Elephas maximus indicus: one gene and its partner. The protein of the gene in region 1 purifies or fractionates together with the protein of each later gene. This does not show direct contact. Links are inferred from orthologs where the notes say so. Each region holds a gene or a part of one and is shown in the gene's direction. Other genes may lie near its edges.

Region 1 (10,892 bases):
TTCCCTCCGGAACCTGCAGAAGGTGCCTCTGACACATCTCAGACACCGGGGCCATGGAGTTAGCGTGACCTGTCGCCGTTGTTAGTTGCCGTGGAGTTAGCGTGACCTGTCGCCATTGTTAGCTGCCGTGGAGTTAGCGTGACCTGTTGTTGTTAGCTGCTGTGGAGTTAGCGTGGCCTCTTGTTGTTAGCTGCCATGTTGTCAGCCCCCGACTCAGGGCAACCCCATGCATGGGAGAGCAAAACCTAACCCTCACCCTCACCCTCACCCTCACCCTCACCCTCACCCTCACCCTCACCCTCACCCTCACCCTCACCCTCACCCTCACCCTCACCCTCACCCTCACCCTCACCCTCACCCTCACCCTCACCCTCACCCTCACCCTCACCCTAACCCTGCCCAGTCCTGTGATATCCCCATGACCGGTTTCGGACAGTTCCCTCGTGATCCACAGGGTTTTCACTGGCTGAATTTGGAAGTAAATCACTAGGCCTTTCTTCTTTGGCCCTCTTAGTTTGGAAGCTCTGCTGATACCTGTTCAGCATCATCACGACACACGAGCCTCCAATGGCAGACCAGTGGTGGTGACTGAGGTGCACTGGCTGGGAATCAAACCAGGATCTCTGCATGGAAGGGGAGAATTCTACCACTGAACCTCCACTGCCCCCAACGTGGGCCTAAACCAAACCAAACCAAACCAACCAGTTGCCATCAAGTCTATTCCAACTCGTTGCCACCCCAGATGTTTTATTTTCCCTTCTTCTCACGTGGAAAAAATGATCTAAAGAAAAATACCACAAAAAGAGATTCCCTTGCTAAGGCCCCCCGAGGCGTGCGTGGGCCTTAGCAAGGGGAACACATGCTCTAGAACAAAGGCCTTGGCTGGGACCCAGGCAGCTTTGCATAATCGCAGTGGCTTCTGACTCACTCACTGCCCTGGGCTGGCCGGTGACTCACTCCTGGAAGGATTTCCGCAGTGATGCCGGCGGTGTGTGTGTCTGTGTGCGCCTGTGTCCCTGTAAGAGGGAGTGCGTGGTCACAGAAATGGGAGACTTGGCAGGGCCTCATGAGAAAACGTCCCGTGAGAGGCTTTGAAGAGTAAACAGCAGTGTTTATTCAGGATTAAAACCTGGACCTTGGCCAAGTGATGGGGGCAATAATAACTGTGCATTTGCAAATCAATGTTAGTACCTCAGGCTGGCTGGAGGCCCTTTGTGAGTGGAGTTCTGTGGGCACAGGGCACCCAGAAAGCTGGTGAAGTCACAGCCGGGGGCTGCCCATGTACCCAGAGGGCATTGCCAGGGCAAAGAGGAAGCTCAGGGTGAGCCAGGAGGCTTCTCTGCCCCAGGGCTGCACCATGCCTCTGATCGGACTAGGGGGATAGGTCTGGTCTGCCCTGCTCCTTTGCAGCTCAGAGGACTCAGGAGGAGAACCACACCCCTAGCCCGGGGGATGTACTTCCTCCAGGGACAAGCTGTCCGTGAGGAGATGGGCAGGAGGAAAAGTGAATGCCGGATGCTCTGCCACACTGGGTACTGGACATGCTTTCTCTCCAGACCCCAGAGCCCGGAAGAAATGAGGGTGGGCCCAGTGGAAACCAAACAGTGAAACGAATAACAGCTTCAAGGAAAGGGCTGTGTCTTTCCTCTGTTCCCCGCTGTTATAGTTTCATAAACACCCTTGCGCCAGATGCCCACAAACTAGAAATGAAAGCTCCATCACTCATCTCATCCAAGAGTGCGACAGCCGAGTCAGGGCTGTAGCGGGACCTGTCTGCCAGGTGCATACCCAGACGTGCAAACTGGGGTGGAGGACCACAACAGATGGGCAGGGTGCGTGTGAGTGTAAATACTGATAAATCAAGAGGGGAAACCTCCAAATCCAGGCTGCTTGCATAGGAATGGGATTCCTGGAGACTTCACTTAGCGAAGAACGTCGTTCACGAGGCTCCGTTCCTCAAGAACTTTTTAAACTGTGGTGTCAAAGCCAAAGTCACACAATCTGAGGTTCCTCCTATCCAGGAAATGTAAAAAGTGGGGAGCAAGAGGAAGTCCCCCACAGATTTTGAGGGGCAGAGAAATAGCTCCTTCAAAACATAGTAACCCCGTGTAAAGTAAGTGGTGGCCCCCAAGGCCAAGGCTGACTTTAAAGCTAAAGGAAGCCTGGCGCCCTGGTAATGCTGGAAAAGCACGTATACCACCTTGCCACCGGCCAGCAAACCCTCAGACCATGGAATCTTTGGCAAAGAAAGGACCTCAGCGGGTCTCCCGGCTACAGCTCTGCCGGCCCCTCTGCAGCAGTCCCCAGCTTGACTGGTCCACAGCCATGAAGACCACAGACTTCCTGACTTCCTGACTCAGCATCTGTGCTGTCAGATCCGGGTTTTGTATTTTTAACAAGCCCCCCACCCCCGAGTGATTCTGATGATCGCCCATGCTGGGGTACCCCTGAGCAGACCAGCCACTGCTTGAATAAAAAATCTTAAAAAGCTGTTGCCTCATGACAACCCCAGGTATTTCATTGCACTCCATCGGGTGACCTTTTGGAAATAGATTGCCAGGCCTTTCGTCTGAGTTGCCTCTGGGTAGACTCAAACCTCCAACCTTTCAGTTAGTAGCTGAGCACTTAACCATTTGTGCCACATGCAGTGTATTCAAAGTGGTGTTGGACTCTGTATCACAAATTAAAATCTGCCTAGTCCCAGCTCTTCCTCTGCAGCAACACACAATGAACACACTCCTTCTTCTCCATGACAGTAAGGATTAGTGAAGCTAGTGTCGAAAACCTTTGCCATTCAGTCGATTCCAATTCATAGTGACCTTTTTTTTTTTTATAGGACAGAGTAGAAAATGCCCCATAGGGTTTCCAAGGCTGCAATCTTTGCGGAAGCAGACTGTCACATCTTTCTCCCACAGAGCGACTGGTGGGTTTGAACCACTGGCCTTTTGGTTAGTAGCTGAGCTCTTAACCACTGAGCCATGAAGGCTCCTAGCTAGTGTTGACCAAAAAAAAAGCAAATCCATTGCCTTTGAGTTGATTCTGACTCATAGCGACCCTGTAGGATAGAATAGAACTGCTCCATAGAGTTTCCAAGGAATAGCTGGTAGATTCAAACTGTCAACCTTTTGGTTAGCCGCTGAGCTCTTCACCACTGCGCCACCAGGGCTCCCGTTAGTGTTGAGTTCCCCATCGTTCTCCTCTTATCCAAGCAAAATGCCTCCATTTTCTTCAAATACATCTTGGTTAATTTTTTTTTTTAATAATATTTTACTGTGCTTTAGTTGAAAGTTTACACAGCAAATTAGGTTCCCATTTGACAATTTTTGTACCAATTGTTCCATGACACTGGTGACATTTTTCATAATGTGCCAGCATTCTCATTATTTCCATTCTGTTTGTTCTGTTTCCATGAATCTAGCTTCCCTGCCCCTTCCTTACTTTCTCAGCTTTGTTTTAGGGTAAATGTTGACCATTTGGTCTCGTATAGGTAATTATTCAAAAAAGCACGGTACTCACGGGTGCCAATCTATTATTAAGCTGAAAGATGACCTCTGGGAGGGGCTTCAGTTCTGAGTTCAAAGTGTATCTTAGGGCAATAGTCTCAGGGTTCCTCTAGTCTCTATCGATCCAGTAATCTGGACTTTTTTTTTTTTTGGAATTTGAGTTTTGTTCTACAATCTTCTCCCATTCTATTTGGGACCTTCTACTGTGTCCCTGGTCGGAACAGTTGGCAGTGGTAGCTGGGCACCATTTAGTTCTTCCGGTCTCGTCATAGACAAGGCCTTGGTTCATGTGGGCTATTAGACCTGTGGACTAGTATCTTGAATCTTTGGTTTCCTTCATTATCTTTTGCTCCAGACGAGTAGAGACCAACAGTTGTATCTTAGATGGCCACTGGCAAGCTTTTAAGACTCCAGATGTGATTCGCCAAACTAGAATGTACAACATAAAATTTATGAACTATGTTATGTCAATTGACCAAGTTGTCCCAGGATACTATGGTCCTAAGCCTTTTAACCCAGTCAACCAATCTCGTGAGGTGTCTGAATATGTCCAGGGAGTATTGGAATTGACTAGACAGCAACGGTTTTTGCTTTTTGGTTAGTAAGTATCTGTAACTGTGCTCCCTATGTGCTTTATTATATATACGAATACATGTGCAGTGCACACAAACATGTATGTACACATGGCTACAGACACAACTGTGCCTGTATTCACATATCACTTCCTATAAACATACTGTATACGCCTACATATCTACCTAGGTAAAACACACATTTTTTGGTTGTTTTCACTACTGCAAAATTGTGTATGTTATAGCATTTAGCCAAACTGACCCTTATTCTTGTGTACCTCTTAGTGTCAACTAAGACTCTTTGGTCAACGAAGACGTCACCCAAATTGGGTATTACCTTTCCCATCACCAAAAAAAACAAGTGTCTACTATCTAGAAAGTGATTCCCTCTCCCTCCCGTTCCCATCCCTGGTAACCATCAAAGAACGCTGCTTTCTGTGTGCATACATATCCTTGTCTTTTTATAAAAGTTAAGACCATACAATATTTGCCCTTTTGTGATTGGCTTATTTCACTCAGCATTATGGTCTCCAGGTTCATCCATGTTATATCTCACAGACTCCTCATTATTCTTCATAGTTGTGTAGTATTCCATTGTATGCATGTACCATAATTTGTTTATCCATTCATCCGTTAATGGGCACTTAGGTTGTTGCCATCTTTTTGCTATTGTGAATAATGCTCCAATGAACATAGGTGTTGTTATGGATTGAATTTATCCCCCCAAAATGTGTGTCAATTTGGTTAGGCCATGATTTCCAGTATTGTGTGGTTCTCCTCCATTTTGTGATCTGATGTAATTATTGTACGTGTTGTAAATTCTAACTGCTATAACGTTAATGAGGCAGAATTAGAGGCAGTGGCTAAGAGCTTGGCCACTAACCAAAAGACCGGCAGTTAGAATCTACCAGTCAACCCTTGGAAATCCTATGGGGCAGTTCTAGGGTTACTAGAAGTTGTAATCCACTTGATGACAACGGGTTTTTTCAGGGCTTATGTTAATAAGGCAGGACATAATCTACAGGATTAAGTTGTATCTTGAGTCAATCTCTTTTGAGATAGAAAAAAGAGAAGTGAGCAGAAAGGAGAGGAACCTCACACCACCAAGAAAGAAGAGACAGGAGCGGAGCACATCCTTTGAACCCAGGGTCCTGTGCTGAGAAACTCCTAGACCCAGGGGAAGATTGATGACAAGGACCTTCCCCCAGAGCTGACAGAGAGAAAGCCTTCCCCTGGAGCTGGACCCCTGAATTCAGACTTCTAGCCTCCTAGACGGTGAGAGAATAAATTTCTGTTGGCTAAAGCCATTCACTTGTGGTATTTCTGTTATAGCAGCACTAACTAGCTAAGACAGCATGCATGTGTCTATTCACGTCACTGCTCTTGTATCTCTAGGATATGTACCTAGAAGTGGGATTGCTAGATTATAAGGTATTTCTATTTCTAGCTTTTTGAGGAAATGCCATACCATTTTTCATAGTGGTTGTACCATTTTACAATCCCACCAACAGTTATAAGATGGTTCAAATTTAACTGGGCATCCTGAATATTTGCCAAATCTGGCAACCCTATCTGTGATCAAGTACCTGACCAATAACAGTGTGCCTGCTGCTATCAAGTCGATTCCAACTCAGAGTGACTCCATAGGGTTTCCAAGGCGTAAACCTCTATGGAAGCAGGCTGCCACATCTTTCTCCCAGGGAGCTGCTGGTGGTTTTGAACCGCTGAACTTTTGGTTAGCGGTCGCTTTAACCACTGTGCCATCAGGGCTCTAATAACAGTGGTGATTGTAATAAGCACAGCCCTTAGTGTCTTGGAGGTTCCTGGGTGGCCCAAGCAGTTTGTGATTGGATGCTAACCTTAAAAGTTGGGGGTTCAAACCCACCCAGTAGCACCACCAAAGAAAAGCCTAGTGATTTGCCTCGATAAAGGTCAGAGCCAAGAAATCTCTATGGAGCAGCTCTACTCGGTAACACATGGGATCGCCATGAATCAGAATCAACTCCATGGCAACAGCATTAGTTTGTGGTCTTGTTTTCTGGTGTCTGGGAATCCCTGTTCTGCCTGTTGCTGGTTGTGGGACATTAGGTAATGTCATTTGACAGCCTCCTCCTCAGTCTTCTCATCTGTGAAGTGGGGATAATAGCCCCTTCTTCACAGAGTTGCCGGAGGATTAAATGAGATAACGCCTGTAGAGCCCTTAGCACGGTATCTGGTACAAAGCAGGGGCCCAATTAACGGCAGCCAGTCTGGTCGCCATGAATCGGAATCGACTCAACGGCGAAGGGTTTTTTTTTTTTTTTAGCCTGGTATTCTTGACCCCACTTCCTGATCTTCTGCTGACTCACGGGGTGTTTCCTGGAGAGTCTCGACTGCCCCAGCCTCGGGTTTCACCCAGTCACTGGGAACTTGGCCTCGGAGTCGGGCTGCAGCCCCGCCTTTTCCACCCCTGCGGCCGCGCTATCCCGGCAGCCGTCGGCAGGTGGCAGCACAGGCCCCAGCCCGCCCCCCGGACGCCGCTCTCCAGGCCGCTGGGCCCGCAAGCTCCCGGGCCGCCGCCCAGCAGGCCACACCCAGCCCGCGCCGCGCCCCCTGGCGGCCTGCGCCCGCGCCGCGCCCCCTGGCGGCCTGCGCCCTCGCCGCAGCCCCGCCGCAGTGCGCCCGCCGCCGCGCCCCTCCCAGCCAGCCTCGGTCGGCAGCATGGCGGGCATCGCGGCGCGGCTGGCCAGGGACCGGGAGGCGGCCGAGGGGCTGGGCTCGCACGAGAGGGCCGTCAAGTACCTGAACCAGGACTACGCGGCGCTGCGGGACGAGTGTCTGGAAGCCGGCGCGCTCTTCCAGGACCCCTCCTTCCCGGCCCTCCCGTCTTCGCTGGGCTTCAAGGAGCTGGGACCCTACTCCAGCAAAACCCGGGGCATCGAGTGGAAGAGGCCCACGGTAGGGTGCGGGGCCGGGGGCCGGCCGGGTGCGGGGTCCTGGGGGCCGGCCGGGTGCTGGGGGTCGGCCGGCTGCGCGGCGCCGGGGGTCGGGCCGGAGGGCGCCCCGCCAGGCCCCGGGCGGCGCCACATCGTGGGCGGAGCGCGCCGGGGGTGGGCTCGGCGCTGCGCGGCCCCGTTACCCTGCGCGGGGGGCGCGCGGGAGGCTCCCCGGCGGGAGCTGGGCCTCCGGGACCCTGCGGTCCCCTCTGCCGCGCCTGACACCCAGCAGCAATCCCAGGCCGGGGGAGGCGGGTCACAGCCCTCAAACCCCCAAAACTGGCCCGCTGGGAGAGCCGCCCTTGGACTTGGCAAAAACTGGGGTGGCACGAGGGGGCCTGGTGGAAAGTTTTATTGGGGGAGTTGGGAGCAGGGTCTGCAAAAATAGGAGGGTGGGAGGCAGTATCTGACTAGGAGAAGTCAGCCTCCAAGTCGGCTCTGTCCGCGTCAGGGAGAGGGAAAGGCCAGAGCCTGGTTTGGTTTGTGACTCTGTGCTGTCTCCTGCAGCCTCGGTGGGTAGATGTGTCGGCTTCTTGTTTATTTTCCAAGTGGGAGCCCGGGAAACTTCCCCATAATATTTACGCTGGTGATTAATAAAGGACACGCGGGATGCCGCAGGGAGCGAGTTTGCCATCGTCTTCACTCCACTGCCCCAGAATCCTCACCTAGGGAACCTGCAGGCACCCTCATTCCGCCCTCAGGGGCTCTGTCCTCCTCGCCTGCCCGGCTTTGGGACAAGTTCTGCTTCCTCATTTAGTGGTCCATTTTGCAGGCTCCTGTCCTCTTCTATGGGACTGTCAGAGCTCCCTCACCACACCTGAATGAGGCTTCCCAAGAAACTCAAGCTTTAGATTCCTGTAATGAGCAGGAAAGGAGCCCTGGTGGCACAGTGGTTAAGCACTCGGCTGCAAACCAAACAATTGGTGATTTGAACCCACCAGCCACTCCGCGGGAGACATATGGCAGTCTGCACCCCTAAAGATATACAGCCTTGGAAACCCAATAGGGCTGTTCTACTCTGTTCTGTTGGGTCGCTATGAGTCGTAAGACTGGATGGCAGTGGGTTTGGTTTGGGTTTGGAACAAGCAGGAGCATTCTAGCCCCATTGTCTGGCACAGTTAAAATCTGTTGCCACTGAGTCAATTCTGACTCATAGAAACTCTACAGGACAGAATAGAACTGCCCCATAGGGTTTCCAAGGACCACCTGGTGGATTCCAACTGCCAACCTTTTGGTTAGCAGCCGAACACTTAACCACTGCGTCACCAGGGCTCCCTAGAACGGTTGCGTCCATTTATAGTATTCATTTATTCATTCATTCAACAATATTTATTGAGTGCCTACTGTGTGTCAGAAAACCCTGGTGGTATAGTGGTTAAGTGCTACGGCTGCTAACCAAAAGCTTAGCAGTTCGAATCCACCAGGTGCTCCTTGGAAACTTTATGGAGCAGTTCTACTTTGTCCTGTAGGGTTGCTATGAGTCCGAATCGGCTCGATGGCAATGGGTTTGGTTTCGTTTTTTACTTTATGCCAGGCACTGCCCTAAATGCTCAGGATACATCAGCAAACAAAGCAGACAATGACTATCTGTGCGATGAATTGCTGTGAACCCCAAATGAAGTTTTGTTGTGAAAGTGATCCACAGGCAAGAGAATGTTTGCACCTTGCATTTGGACAGCACTTTACAGCTTACAAAGTGAATCCATGCTCCCCTTCACTGTTCTTTCCCTCGTCAGTAAGCGCTTACTGAACACATCCTACATACCAGGCACAGTGCACGTAGTGTTTTCTTCTGAAGACTGGAGCCTAGTGAGGGGAGACAGACAGGTGACCCAACAGGTGGAGTTTCCTGCGAGATTTCCGGATGGGGAAGTAGAGATTTAGAACCATTTCAGGGCTGCTGGGTAGGGCAGGGCATTCGGCAGTTGAAGACGTTGAGGCTTTGAAAGGTTAAATACCTACTCAAACAGGTATACATGGTGGAGCTGAGACTGTTTCTAGCCTGTGCGTGTCTAGAGCCCATGACTTTACAGCTACTTAGCTCTGTCCCACCTTCTCAAACATGCCAGGCCCAGGCAAGGAAAACAAAAAGTTTCCACTAGATCTGGACATTGATGAATTGCTGGTGACCTCAGCAGAGCTATGTCAGCGGAAAGGCGGGGGTAGAAGCAGATTGCAGTGGACTGAGGAGTCAGCCTAGTCCAGAGTTAGGAGATGGAAATGGAGAATGTGATCAATTGCTTTTGGAAGCATGCCTGTAGGAAGAGAGACAGAGAAAATGGCAGGTAGAGTGAAACCTGGGGCTTGATGAGAGCGCCTTGAACGTGCTCTGTGTGGAGCCCCCAGGAAGGAAGGGATTGGAGGTGAAGGCAGAGAGCAGGTAGTCGTGAAACAGGGTCCGAGGATGCGAGAGTATGGGGTCCTGGGAGGGCAGGGGAGCCGGTTAGCCTTGGGTGGAGGAGGGCGTGCTCTTGCTGGGAGAGAGACTGGTGTCTCAGGGGCAAGGGGTTTCACACCACTGGTGAAGAGTGGCTGCAGGGAGGGAAGGGGGATGAAGCAGAAAGTGGCTGACGTCCTGGTGAGGCCAGGGACTGGCTCAGGGGTCACAGTGAGGAGAAGAACTGGGCTGGCCAAGGGTGGCACACCAGAGCCTCCTGGCACCCAGACAGGTAGGAGCGAGGGCCCCTTGTTCATTGCCATCTAGTCGGCTCCAACTCATGGCAACCCCATGTACAACAGAACGAAACATGACCTGGTCCTGTGCCATCTTTGTGATCGTTGGTGTGCTTGAGTCCATTGTGTATTTGGAGTGTTTCCCAACTTGGGGACCTTCATCTTCCAGAGCTGATCCATAGGGGTTTCATTGGCTAATTTTCAGAAGTGGATCACCAGGCCTTTTTTCCTAGTCTTTCTTAGTCTGGAAGGTGCACTGAAACCTGTCCACCATGGGTGACCCTGTTGATGCTTGAAATGCCAGTGGCATATCTCCCAGCCACCAGAGTGGGACAAGCTGACAGGCAGGACGTGGAGGAGCAAGGCAGGTATTTTCCTCATGAGGGAACCAAGCCTCTGAGTGGTTTAGGACTTGCTTATATTCAGCTGACCGAACTCTGCCTTGGACTTGCACTTCCAAGGTCAGTGATTATCATCATCAACTTTTCCTATAGTAATAGTAACAACGATAATAATAGGCAACGTCTGTGGAGCGCTTAACCAAGACAGGCTTACACGGTGACCTAGTTTAATCACAAAACATCCTGTGTGGTGGGTATGCTTATCATCATCATCCCCATTTTACAGATGAGAAAACTGAAGCTTAAAGAGGTTAAGTAACTTGCCCAGGCTTACAGAGCCCAAATAACAAGCGGCAGAGCCAGGATTGAAACCCAGGCTGTCTGAAGCCCAAGTCCTCAGAGCCCCTTGTCTCTGACTGGCTCATCTCAGATTTAATTCAGTGTCCTGCATGCCTCGCACAGCATTCTACTCTCTGAAGTACTTCTGCGTGCCACTCTGGGCTTGGACTTCTCTGCAGAGGTTGCTAGAGGCATGAGAAAGTTTCTGAAACATAGTGGAAAAATGCTCCTGGGGTGAGTGCCTGGTGCACGGAGGATTATCAATATGGTTAGAATAAAGAGGCTGCCAGCACCATGGCCCATCTATTCCGCCAGCCAGGTAAGTGCTTGACTGGCAGGCCTTGCTTGGTCTGGCAGACCTTGTTGGCCTCAGCAGAGACGCATTCTCAGAGCAGGGAGACAGGGCAAAGGCAGGACGGGAACGAGCTCTGCTGCAGACTGGGGCTCAGGAAGGGCTTCCGCAGGGTAAGGCAGGGCGGACCAGGGCTG
Region 2 (11,129 bases), on another chromosome or scaffold:
AGTATGGATTACACCTCAACGTAAAGAAAACAAAAATTCTCACAACTGGACCAATGAGCAACATCATGATAAACGGTGATAAGACTGAAGTTGTCAAGGATTTCATTTTACGTGGATCCACAATCAATGCCCGTGGAAGCAGCAGTCAAGAAATGAAATGACACAATGCATTGGGCAAATTACTGCAAAAGACTTCTTTAAAGTGTTAAAAAGGAAAGATCACCATGAAGAAAAAGGTGCACCTGACTCAAGCCATGGTGTTTTCAATTGCCTCATACGCATAGGAAATTGGACAGTGAATAAGGAAGACCGAAAAAGAATTGATGCCTTTGAATTATGATGTTGGGGAAGAATACTTAATATATCATGGACTGCCAAAAGAATGAACAAATCTGTCTTAGAAAAAATATAAGCAGAATGGTCCTTAGAAACAAGGATGGTAAGACTTGGTCTCACATACTTTGGACATGTTATCAGGAGGGACCAGTCCCTGGAGAAGGACACCAGGCTTGGTAAAGTAGAGGGTCACTGAGAAAGAGGAAGATCCTCGAAGAGACTGACACAGTGGCTGCAACAATGGGCTCAAGCATAAGATGACTCTGAGAATAGTGTAGGGCCAGGCAGTGTTTTGTTCTGTTGTACACAGCGTGGCTATGAGTCAGAGCTAACTTGATGGCACCTGTCTTAGTCATCTAGTGCTGCTACAACAGAAATACCATAAGTGGACGGCTTTAACAAAGAGAAACTTATTTTCTCATGGTCTAGTAGAAGTTTGAACTCAGGGCGCCACTCCAGGGGAAGGCTTTCTTTCTCTGTCAGCTCTGGAGGTCCTTGTAATGCATAGATCTTCCCTTGGTCTGGGAGCATCTCAGAATAGGAACCTCAGGTCCAAAGGCTCTGCTCCCGGCACTGCTTTCTTGGTGGTATGAGGTCCCCACTTTCTGCTTGCTTCCCTTTCATCCCTTGTAAGATAAAAGGTGGTGCAAGCCACACCCCAGGGAAACTCCCTTTACATTGATCAGGGATGTGACCTTAGTAAGGGTGTTACAATCCCACCCTAATCCTCTCTAACATAAAATTACATCACAAAATGGAGGACAACCACACAATATTGGGAATCATGGCCCAGCCAAATCACTACGCACATCTTAACATCTTAGGGGGACATAATTCAATCCATGACATCACCTAACAACAACATATGTGTAATAAATACTTGTTAAATAAATGCCTATCTTATTTTATTAGCTGAACAGTTTGAACTCACATCATAGAGGATAAGTCCCTTGGAGGCTTAACTTCCAAAAAACGATGAAACAAACAATTATTCATGAAAATCTGCAAGAACCGAGTTTCAGAATGGTGTTATGTGAACTACAGCCTACAGGTCATTTGTAGTCCAGCAAAGATATCTGATGGCCCTAATCACCCTCCCTGACTCCGTATCTTCTAGAGAATAATTCTAGCCTGGGTACATGAGAAAGCCTAAAGATGGAAATGTTTAAAAAACAATTTTAACAATGTCCTATTTTGGGGAGTTTTCATTACACATTTTAAGAAAATCTGGCATATTAAGTATCTGTGAAATGGAGTCACTTGATACATCTTCATGAACATGTTGAGTATTTGTAAACCATGCTTTTTCAAGTGTGGTTAAATGAGTCTCTATACTTACCTGTTAGAAATCATCATCATTGCTAATATTCAAATATATTAGGGTTGAAAATAACATGAGCCTGGAAACACAGGAAGGATGGCCATTGATCTACGGATGGCTCATGCTACTGGCTTAACTGAACCTTTTCTTTACGGTTTTCATCATTATGGTGTATCTCATATCTTGAAATATAATATTTAGTATATATTATTGATGCTGAAGACACCAAAATATTGTATAATAGTTATTCTAAAACAAGTAGAGGTTCCAATTCTTTTGAATTCCATATTGCTAAGAATTTTTATAGTTGATACAAGGCAGATTGTAATCCTGAATGTAGCAACCTAAATTAAGAAAAAACTATTTGTTAAATATATCACTTCAGGAGAATCTCACAAAAGTAGGGCTATCGGAAGCAGCTCAAAGCTGGAATGGTTTCTAGGCTATCACAAAATAAACTCAGTTCATTTGCATTTTGAACCACTACTAAATTTTGGACTTGGGGAGCCTTATTTTGATATTTAATGTGGCAACAAAATTTTAACTAGGAAACTGAGTTCTATATGGCCTATGTATGTAGAAATTATGTTAAAATAATTAAGGTACTACATAGAGACAACATGACTGCTTCATACATCCGGTTATTAATGCTGGGAAAATCTAGTGGAAGCCTCGTGTGGAACACTTCAAACCCCTAACAGTGCAGTAGTCTTCAGGTTTTTCGGTCCTGGACTCCCTCTAGTGTTCAACCTTTTGGTGCTTTGATTGGTACTCTTCAGTTCATAGAATTACCCAATTTTGGGTCATACTAGAAACAAAACACATAAAGCACAAAAGGGAGCAGACTACGTCATTGAATGGTATGTTAAATGAGGAGGTTAAAATGGTTGAAATAGTAGTGTTGCAAATAGTCTGATTTAAAGGGACAAAGTGGATTCTACTGGCTGACTGGAAAGGCCAGTCATAGTAATAGTTCTGCCACGAGTAAGTAGAGAAGGATAAAGGCCCAGGAACAGGATTCCTGGTTGCTTTTGTTTGTATCGTAAGGGGAAGACTGGACCTTTCAGGGAGAGTATGAAGTGACTATTTCCTGGACTCATGGGTTTTACGAGGTCAGAGAATTCTAGGTTGACTTTGTGTGGTAGGTTGAATCATGTCATCAAAAAAGATGTATTTAGATTCACCTGGAACCTCAGAACGTGGCCTTATTTGGAAGCAGGGTCTTTGCAGATGTACCTAGTTTATATGAGGTTGCACTGGATTAGTGTGGCCCTTAAGTCTAATGACTGGTTGTCATGGATTGAATTGTATCCCCCCAAAATATCTGCCAACTTGGCTAGGTCATGATTCCCTTGTATGACTGTATGATTGTCTACCATTTTACCATCTGATGTGATTTCCCTATGTTGTAAATCCTATCACTATGCTGTAATAAAATGGATTAGTGGCAGTTATACTAATGAGATCTACAAGATTAGATGGTGTCTTAAAGCAATCTCTTGAGACACAAAAAAGAGAAATGACCAGAGAGACAGGGGGACCTTATACCACCAAGAAAGCGGTGCTGGGAGCAGAGCATGTCCTTTGGGCCTGACATTCCTGTGCTGAGATGCTCCCAGACCAAGGGAGGACCAATGACAAGGACCTTCCTCCAGAGCCGACAAAGAGAAAAAGCCTTCTCCTGGGGCCAGCGCCCTGAATTTGGACTTGTAACCTGCTAGACTGTGAGAGAATAAATTTCTTTGTTAAGGCTGCCCATTGTGGTATTTATGTTACAGCAGCACTAGATGACTAAGACACTGCTGTCCTATAAGCAGGCCATGAGAGGATACACAGGAAAGAAGTGATGATAGAGACAGATATTGGAGTGGTGCAGCTACAGCCACGGAAAGCCAAGGATTTCTGGCAGCCACCAGGAACTAGGAGAGAGGCGTGGAACAGATTCTTCCCTAGAAGAAAGCATGGCCCTGACACCTTGATTTTGGACTTCTAGCCTCCAGAATTGTGAGAGAATAAATCTATGTTGATTTAAGCCACCTAGTTTGAAGCTAATTTTGATGACAGCTCTAGGAAATTAATACACCTTGCATAAAGGCAACCTCTCAGACAAACCCAAAGCAACATGTAGTTTCTTCCATATCCTATCCATAAAATTTCAGCCTCCACCTTACTTGCTTGAAACCAATGCAGAAAACTCTAAGCTTGATTTAATTTAATCTGCTTCCCTATGTTTCATACCAGTTGGCTTTGGTTTTGCCTCTTGGCTCTACCTTCCACATGACCATACTAAAATGAGGAGGAAGCCTCTTAAATCTGCGCCATTAAACTTTTACCTCCAGGTCAGTTCTGCACTGTAGCTACACAGCAATCTACCAGCTCTTTTCCATGACAGACCTTTACATATTTAAGACAATTAGCATGTTCTTATTAAGTCTTCTTTTTTCTAGATCTTCAAAGCTTCTTGGAACCTGGAATAAAAGTGATCTTCATAAGTGGAAGTACAGGTATCATGACAAAATAATTTTTTTTATTAACTTTTATTGAGCTTCAAGTGAACGTTTACAAATCAAGTCAGACTGTCACATATAAGTTTATATACATCTTACTCCGTACTCCCACTTGCTCTCCCCCTAATGAGTCAGCCCTTCCAGTCTCTCCTTTCGTGACAATTTTGCCCGCTTCCAACTCTCTCTATCCTCCCATCCCCTCTCCAGACAGGAGATGCCAACACATCTCAAGTGACCACTTGCTATAATTAGCTCACTCTTCATCAGCATCTCTCACCTACCCACTGTCCAGTCCCTTTCATGTCTGATGAGTTCATGACAAAATAATTTGATGGGCATTTCATTCACAACTTCAGGAGTCAGTAAAAATGATGTTTATGTATTTCTTCAGAAAATGCAAAACTGTTATTGAAAAGTCTTAAAACCCAAGAGAACAGAAGCCAGTGTGATTAAGAGAAAGAATAAGAACTAATGGGTGACCTACCCATTCAGGACCTCCTGCTGCTGCTGCTACTTTCTGATTCAAGTTGTGCCAGCTTGGGAGCTGGAAAGGTACAGTGGAGACCAGGTAAGTCACCATGGAATCCGGAAGTCTGTCAGTATCTGCTCTGAAGTTCCGACAGAATGAGACCAGGAACTGCCATTGATCTTAAGGCCCTCGATCAAACGGTACTTTCCATTGAGAGGACACTGCTATGCTGTCTGCAAACCACTACTTGCATAGATAGAAGAAAAACAAGTCACAGTGACTTACTCTATCTGCAACTTCAATTTTTGTCGCCTCATAGTTTTCATGGAGATGTGAGTTGCAGTAAAGACGGGGAAAATGTGAATAAGATAAAAACAAAGCTTATTTTCTTGACTTTGAGTATCTGCATTTCTTTTTGATGAGCAAAGTTAAAGAGAATAGGAAATGTAGTCCAGCTGATAACGGGGAAAGAGTAATTCCCTGTGGAGATGAAAGGCGGAAAAATAGCAGGAGGCAGTCTTGATACTGTAGGCAAGTGTCGCCTCTAAAGCAGGGCTTGGTGCGGCTGTGGCCCCAGGAGACAGCAGTTGTCGCTCGAACCGAGACGCTGCCATTAAAAAATTAGGTATCCTTAAGTTGTTGTCAAAGCACATTCAAAGGACTGAATCGGGGGTCAGAAAAAAATGTCGTAGTACACCACAAAGGCAACAGAGGACCTGTTTTTCCTTCCCCTTTCCAAGGTATTTTAAACGTCACGCTGTACTTCTCTCCTGCAAGGCTGGTGCTCTTCTCTATTAAGGCGGTGCACGGACCTTCCCTACAGGTTGGGGCCCCGGCTACTGAAGGCGCCACCGCTGTTGTCTCCGCTGTCCCAGCCACCTGGCCCGAGCACCCGGCCGGTAACACCGCACACGCGAGGGCACTCAGAGTTCTTCTCGACACAGCCACGTCCCCAGGCCGGCGCGCAGCTCCAGCCGGAGTGCGGCGCCGGTGACGCCCTGCGACGCCTGGGCGCCTGCTGGACGACCGTGCCGTTCGGCCGCGCTGCCTGCCAGCACCTGCACCGAAGGCCACCTCCGGGAGGCTCTGGGCTGGGCGGCTGGGTCTCGTCCAGGCGGACAGCGCCACAGCAGACCGGGGCCCGGCGGGAGCTGGACCCCGCTCGCTCTCCAGCGACCTCAGCGCCTCGCAAGCCCTAGCCTGCCCTGACGCATGCGCGTAGTCCGCTTCCGGCCGAGGCGCGCGGTGCTCAGGCCGTTCGGGTCCGGGCGGAACGCCGGCCCCGCTTCTCTCGACCTCGGGTGCTCCGTGCGCCATGGCTCGGGACTCGGGCCCCTTCCCTGCGGAGCCGCTCTTACAGCTGCTACCCCTAGACTCCAGAGACCGGGGCACCCAGCGCTGCCGCCTGGGCCCGGCCGCGCTCCGCGCCTTGGGCGCGCGCTTGGGCTCGGCCGTGAAGATCTCGCTGCCCGACGGCGGCTCGTGCCTCTGCACCGCCTGGCCGCGGCGGGACGGAGCCGACGGCTTTGTGCAGCTGGACCCGCAGTGCGCGAGCCCCGGGGCGGCGGCGGGGGCGCCGGGCTCCAGCGCGAGCCTCGGCCTGAGCCGCCTGCGCCTGGTGCCCTGCCCGCCCCTGCGGCGCCTCGCCGTGTGGCCGGTGTTGCGGGAGCGAGCGGGCGCGCCCGGGGACCCGAGTCCCGCCGCCGTGCTGGAGGCGGCGCAGGAGCTGCTGCGGAACCGGCCGGTGTCTCGGGGCCACGTGGTTGCCGCTCCGCCGGGTGCCCCCGGCCCGCTGGCCGCCCTGCACGTAGTCGGCGGGACGCCGAGTCCCGATGCGGCCGGGCTGGTCACCGCTCGCACCCGCATCGTCCTCAGCGGGACGCCCCCGTCGGAAGCCGAGCCGCAGCCCGAGGCGCCCCTGGGCGGCCTGTCGGAGGCGGCCGATTCGCTGCGGGAGCTCCTCTGCCTGCCGCTCCGCTACCCCCGCGCCCTGGCCGCGCTGGGACTCGCCGTGCCCCGCGGGGTGCTGCTGGCGGGCCCCCCTGGAGTGGGCAAGACCCAGCTGGTGCGCGCCGTGGCCCGGCAGGCGGGCGCCGCGCTGCTGGCCGTGAGCGCCCCGGCGCTGCAGGGCGCGCGGCCCGGGGAGACCGAGGAGAACGTGCGGCGGGTCTTCCAGCGCGCCCAGGAGCTGGCCAGGCGCGGGCCCAGCCTCCTCTTCCTGGACGAGGTGGACGCCCTGTGCCCCCGGCGGGGCGGCCCGCACCGCGCCCCCGAGAGCCGCGTGGTGGCCCAGGTGTTGACGCTGCTGGACGGCGCCAGCGGGGACCGCCAGGTGCTGGTCGTGGGAGCCACCAATCGGCCGGACGCGCTAGACCCGGCGCTGCGGAGACCCGGGAGATTCGACAGAGAGGTGAGCGGGCGTGGCCGGTTGGCCTGTAGCCCCTGGGACCGTGGTTGGCTGCCCCTAGGCATTGCCACTGAGGTTTGGAAGTTGGTGAGGGCGGAGTGCAGAGAACGCGTGCTCTGACCTAATAGTACCTGGGAGCCGGGATCAGTTTTTCCCCAAATCTCCAATTGTCTCCTAGGGTTTACTTTCCCGTACATGTCCTGAAGACGAGTACGCCCTATAATAAGTAGAGTTAGTTCTTCAGGGAACTAGGTCGGCCACAGGCATGTTGAACTCGTATGGAGTTGGAATGGAAGTTTAAAGTAGAAGGATAGCCTCAAGAAATAAGTGTGTGGAAATAAAAGGCGGAGAGCAGTGAAGTTAAAGCAGGCATTAGCTCTCCCTTGTGAGAATGCCAGCATCCTGTCCCGAAACTGAAAAAAAAAAAAAAAAAAAAAAAACCCACAATTGCTTCCTGAGTTGCCAGGGAGGGTAAATATCAAAGCAGCCCCCCCCCCTTTTTTTTTTTAATGAGCGTTGGTCTTAAATTGATTCTTGATTTCTATTAAATAGTTTGAAACTTAGTGGTTAATTGAAATGATGTTCGGGCTTTGTGGTAGGGTTCTAAACAAAGGATAATTGCATACTTTTAGCTTAATCCCTCAAGGACTTGAGTGACTTTCTTGCACTATCTGGTACTTGTCTGCTGAATCAGCTCCCTGTGAGCAGGGATCTAGACTGATTCACTGTTCTATCCCTCTCTGCCTCTGGCCAGCTTTTTGGTTAGCAGCTGTAGCTCTTGACTACTACTACACCACCAGGGTTTCCAAGAAGTGGTAGGTTCTCGAAAATAAATAAAAACTTCAGTGCACTATACAATTTTTGTTGTTCTGCTCCCTGGCCAGTATTCATTAAAAAAAAAAAAAATTCATTAGTCCCCTGGAAAATTAGGGTGTAGATCCCTAACTTTCTGTGTGTTCTGAGATGTGCATCAGAGTGCACTGTACTAGTTCCATAAGGGTTCATTAATTATTGCACAGATTTGTGAGGATAAAAATACGTACATTGTCAAACTATATAAGCTTTAATTTCTCCTTATTTTTTTGCTTTACAAATAGGTTGTCATTGGCACTCCCACCCTTAGACAAAGAAGGGCAATTCTGCAAGTGCTAACCTCGAAGATGCCGGTCTCCAGTCTCGTCAACTTGGGCCTCCTTGCAGAAATGACAGTTGGCTGTGTTGGCGCAGACTTGACGGCTCTCTGCAGGGAGGCGGCCCTGCATGCTATGCTTCGTGGTGACAAGGTAAGAGGGCTGGCTTCTCATCGTCCGCCCATGTTGATCATCGTCAGTGGGAATTGACTTGTCGGCAACTGGTTTGGTTTTTTGGTTTACCCGAGTTAATGTTTTCATTAACGTATCAAATTAATTTTGGGATTAAAAAGTGATAAATAACATTCTTTTACAACTATCGATAGCTTTCATGGCTGTTTCTTATATATATTTTTACATCTCAAATCCGTATAAATAATATATGAACGAAGGTGGGAAGAAGGGGCTGAGCCCTCCAAGCCTACCGGGTGGCTATTTACCCACTCTCTTAGTAACATCCAGAAACCCTGGTGGCATAGTGGTTAAGTGCTACGGCTGCTAACCAGAAGGTCGGCAGTTCTTCTGTGTCCTATAGGGTCACTATGAGTCGGAATCGACTCGATGGCAATGGATTGTTTGTTTGTTTTTGGCTTAGTAACATCCTAATGTTGAAACCACCGGTCCCCAGAGCAGCCAGGAAAAAGGCGGTCGCCTCAAAAGAATCAATTCTTTTTTTTTTTTTAATTTCAAAAGAATTTCAGACTTAGAGAAAAGTTGCAAAAATAGGACAAAGAATTTCTGTACATTCTTCATCTGGATTCTCCAGATGTTAACATTTTGCTGCATTTGTCTTGTTATTCTCTCTGTGTATATGTATATATTTCTGAAACATGCACGAGTATGCTACAGCCATGATGCCGCTTTCCCCTTGAAAATGTAAGTTTTTATTTCCAAAAAACTAGGACCTTCTGCTACACAACCACAGTACAACGATAAAAATGAGAACCCAGCCTAAGACAGGGACCTTGTGCTGCACCACAGTACTCAACCCACCCACTGCTGTCGAGTCGATTCCGACTCATAGCGACCCTATAGGACAGAGTAGAACTGCCCCATAGAGTTTCCAAGGAGTGCCTGGCAGATTCGAACTGCCGACCTCTCAGTTAACAGCCATAGCACTTAACCACTACGCCACCAGGGTTTCCGCACAACCACAGTGCAATGATAAAAATGAGAACCCAGCCTAAGACAGGGACCTTCTGCTGTACAACCACAGTGCAATGATAAAAATGAGGGGATCAACACTGATACACTTTACTTCATCTACGTAGACCTTACCGAGATTTCACCGTTTGTCCCACTAACTTCCTTTATAGCAAAACTTTAAAAGAGAAAAAGATAATTGTTTCTCTTGTTCAGGATTACATATTGCATTTAATTGTCATGATTTCTTAGTCTTTAGTCTGGAACCATTTTTCAGCCTTTTCTTTCATGACCTTAACTTTGTAAGAGTACAGGTCAGTTATTACGTAGAATATTCTTCAGTTTGGGTTTGACTGATGTTTCCTGGTGATTTGATTCAGGGTTTGCATTTTTTGCAAGATTGTCACAGAAGGGTTCCTGTGTTCTTCTCACTGCATCTCTCAGGCAGCAGATGGTATCTGTTTGTCCTTTCCTGGTGAAATTAACTTCAGTCACTTGGATAAGGTGATGTCTGTAAGATTTCTCTGTTGTCAAGATACTGTTTTTCTCTTTGTTATTTATAAGTATCTTGTGGGGGGAAAAAAACCCAAAACTTTTCTAACTGTGGGAAAGATCATGTATCTGGAATTTTATTTAAAATTCTTTGACATTCGTGTCTCTAATTCATTTGTACCTTCATTAAAAATATTTAGGATATTAGCTTTTTTTTAATATATCCCAAAAATATTAGGATATTTATAGTATTCAACTATTTTAAATAGTACTTTGGAGCTCTGGTGGTGCAGTGGTTAAGAGCTATGGTGAGCTATGCCTCCTAACCATAAAGGTGGGCAGTTCGAATCCACCAGCGGCTCCATGGAAACTCTGTGAGGCAGTTCTACTCTGTCCTTTAAAGTTGCTATGAGTCAGAATCAATTTGACTTGATGGCAAGAGGAAAAATTCCAACTACTATTATTGTTTTCAACTATTATAAATTCTGGAGTCCTGGTGGCACAGTGGTTAAGAGCTTGATTGCTAACCAAAGGTCCGCAGTTTGAATTCACCAGGTGCTCCTTGGAAACCCTATGGGGCTGTTCTACTTTTGTCTGTAGGGTTGCTATGAGTCCCAGTGGACTTCATGGCAATGGGTTTGGTTTATTATAAATTCCAATCTATTGACGGGGAAATCAGGTCATTTCATATGTAACTAGTAATCCTAAATCCTTAAACCCCTTTGGGAAAAAAAATAATAATTTCAGCAGGCTGAGGAATCTGGGGCAAAGTTTTTTATCTCAATTGTAATATTAAAATTGCCCTCTGATCTTGTAATTTAAAAAACCCAATCTTGACTTTATTTAAACTAGAAAAGGATAATTTATCATCCTAATTTTTAAAAACCAAAACCAAAAACCTTTTTACCTGGGTGTTTCACATCCTTCCTGACTGCCTTGTTCTTTATTTTTGCTCTTACACCGAAGGTGAGGAGGAGTTACGTGAACTCCTAACTCCTCATCTTCTGGGTTCAGGACCAAAACTGCTGTAAGTTTTTATGGCACATCCCATGTTAAAGGGGTGAGAAGACAATATATGCTTTTTGTGGGGAGGAAGAGAGTACCAGGAGTTGAGAAAGGAGATTGACATTTAGGATTCCCTCTGCTTTGAAGTTCCAGGTTTGACCCTTAAGCACTTCTGCCTTAGGGAGAGGAGGACCAATCAGCTGCTGCCGTCCTCCAGCAGGTGGAGCCCACTGCCACCTCAGGAGGGGCCTGCCCAGGGGTAGTTCCCACAGGTGATGGCTGAGCTCAGAAAACAACCAGGGGAAGTGGAAGGAAGAAA

The links.
Region 2: the proteins of CAPN2 (region 1) and SPATA5L1 purify together in Homo sapiens (co-immunoprecipitation; 3 studies listed by BioGRID and IntAct, with this or other methods). This does not show direct contact. The link is inferred for Elephas maximus indicus from reciprocal best matches to the Homo sapiens genes CAPN2 and AFG2B.

The regions. Positions count from the first base shown.
Region 1 is NC_064842.1:13,424,110-13,435,001, forward strand, and holds the start of CAPN2 (calpain-2 catalytic subunit), read left to right. Parts: upstream 1-6,726; 5' UTR 6,727-6,775; coding exon 6,776-7,012; intron 7,013-10,892. UniProt on the Homo sapiens protein: Calcium-regulated non-lysosomal thiol-protease which catalyzes limited proteolysis of substrates involved in cytoskeletal remodeling and signal transduction. Proteolytically cleaves MYOC at 'Arg-226'.
Region 2 is NC_064828.1:10,923,961-10,935,089, reverse strand, and holds the start of SPATA5L1 (ribosome biogenesis protein SPATA5L1), read left to right. Parts: upstream 1-5,870; 5' UTR 5,871-5,948; coding exon 5,949-7,043; intron 7,044-8,137; coding exon 8,138-8,323; intron 8,324-11,129. UniProt on the Homo sapiens protein: ATP-dependent chaperone part of the 55LCC heterohexameric ATPase complex which is chromatin-associated and promotes replisome proteostasis to maintain replication fork progression and genome stability.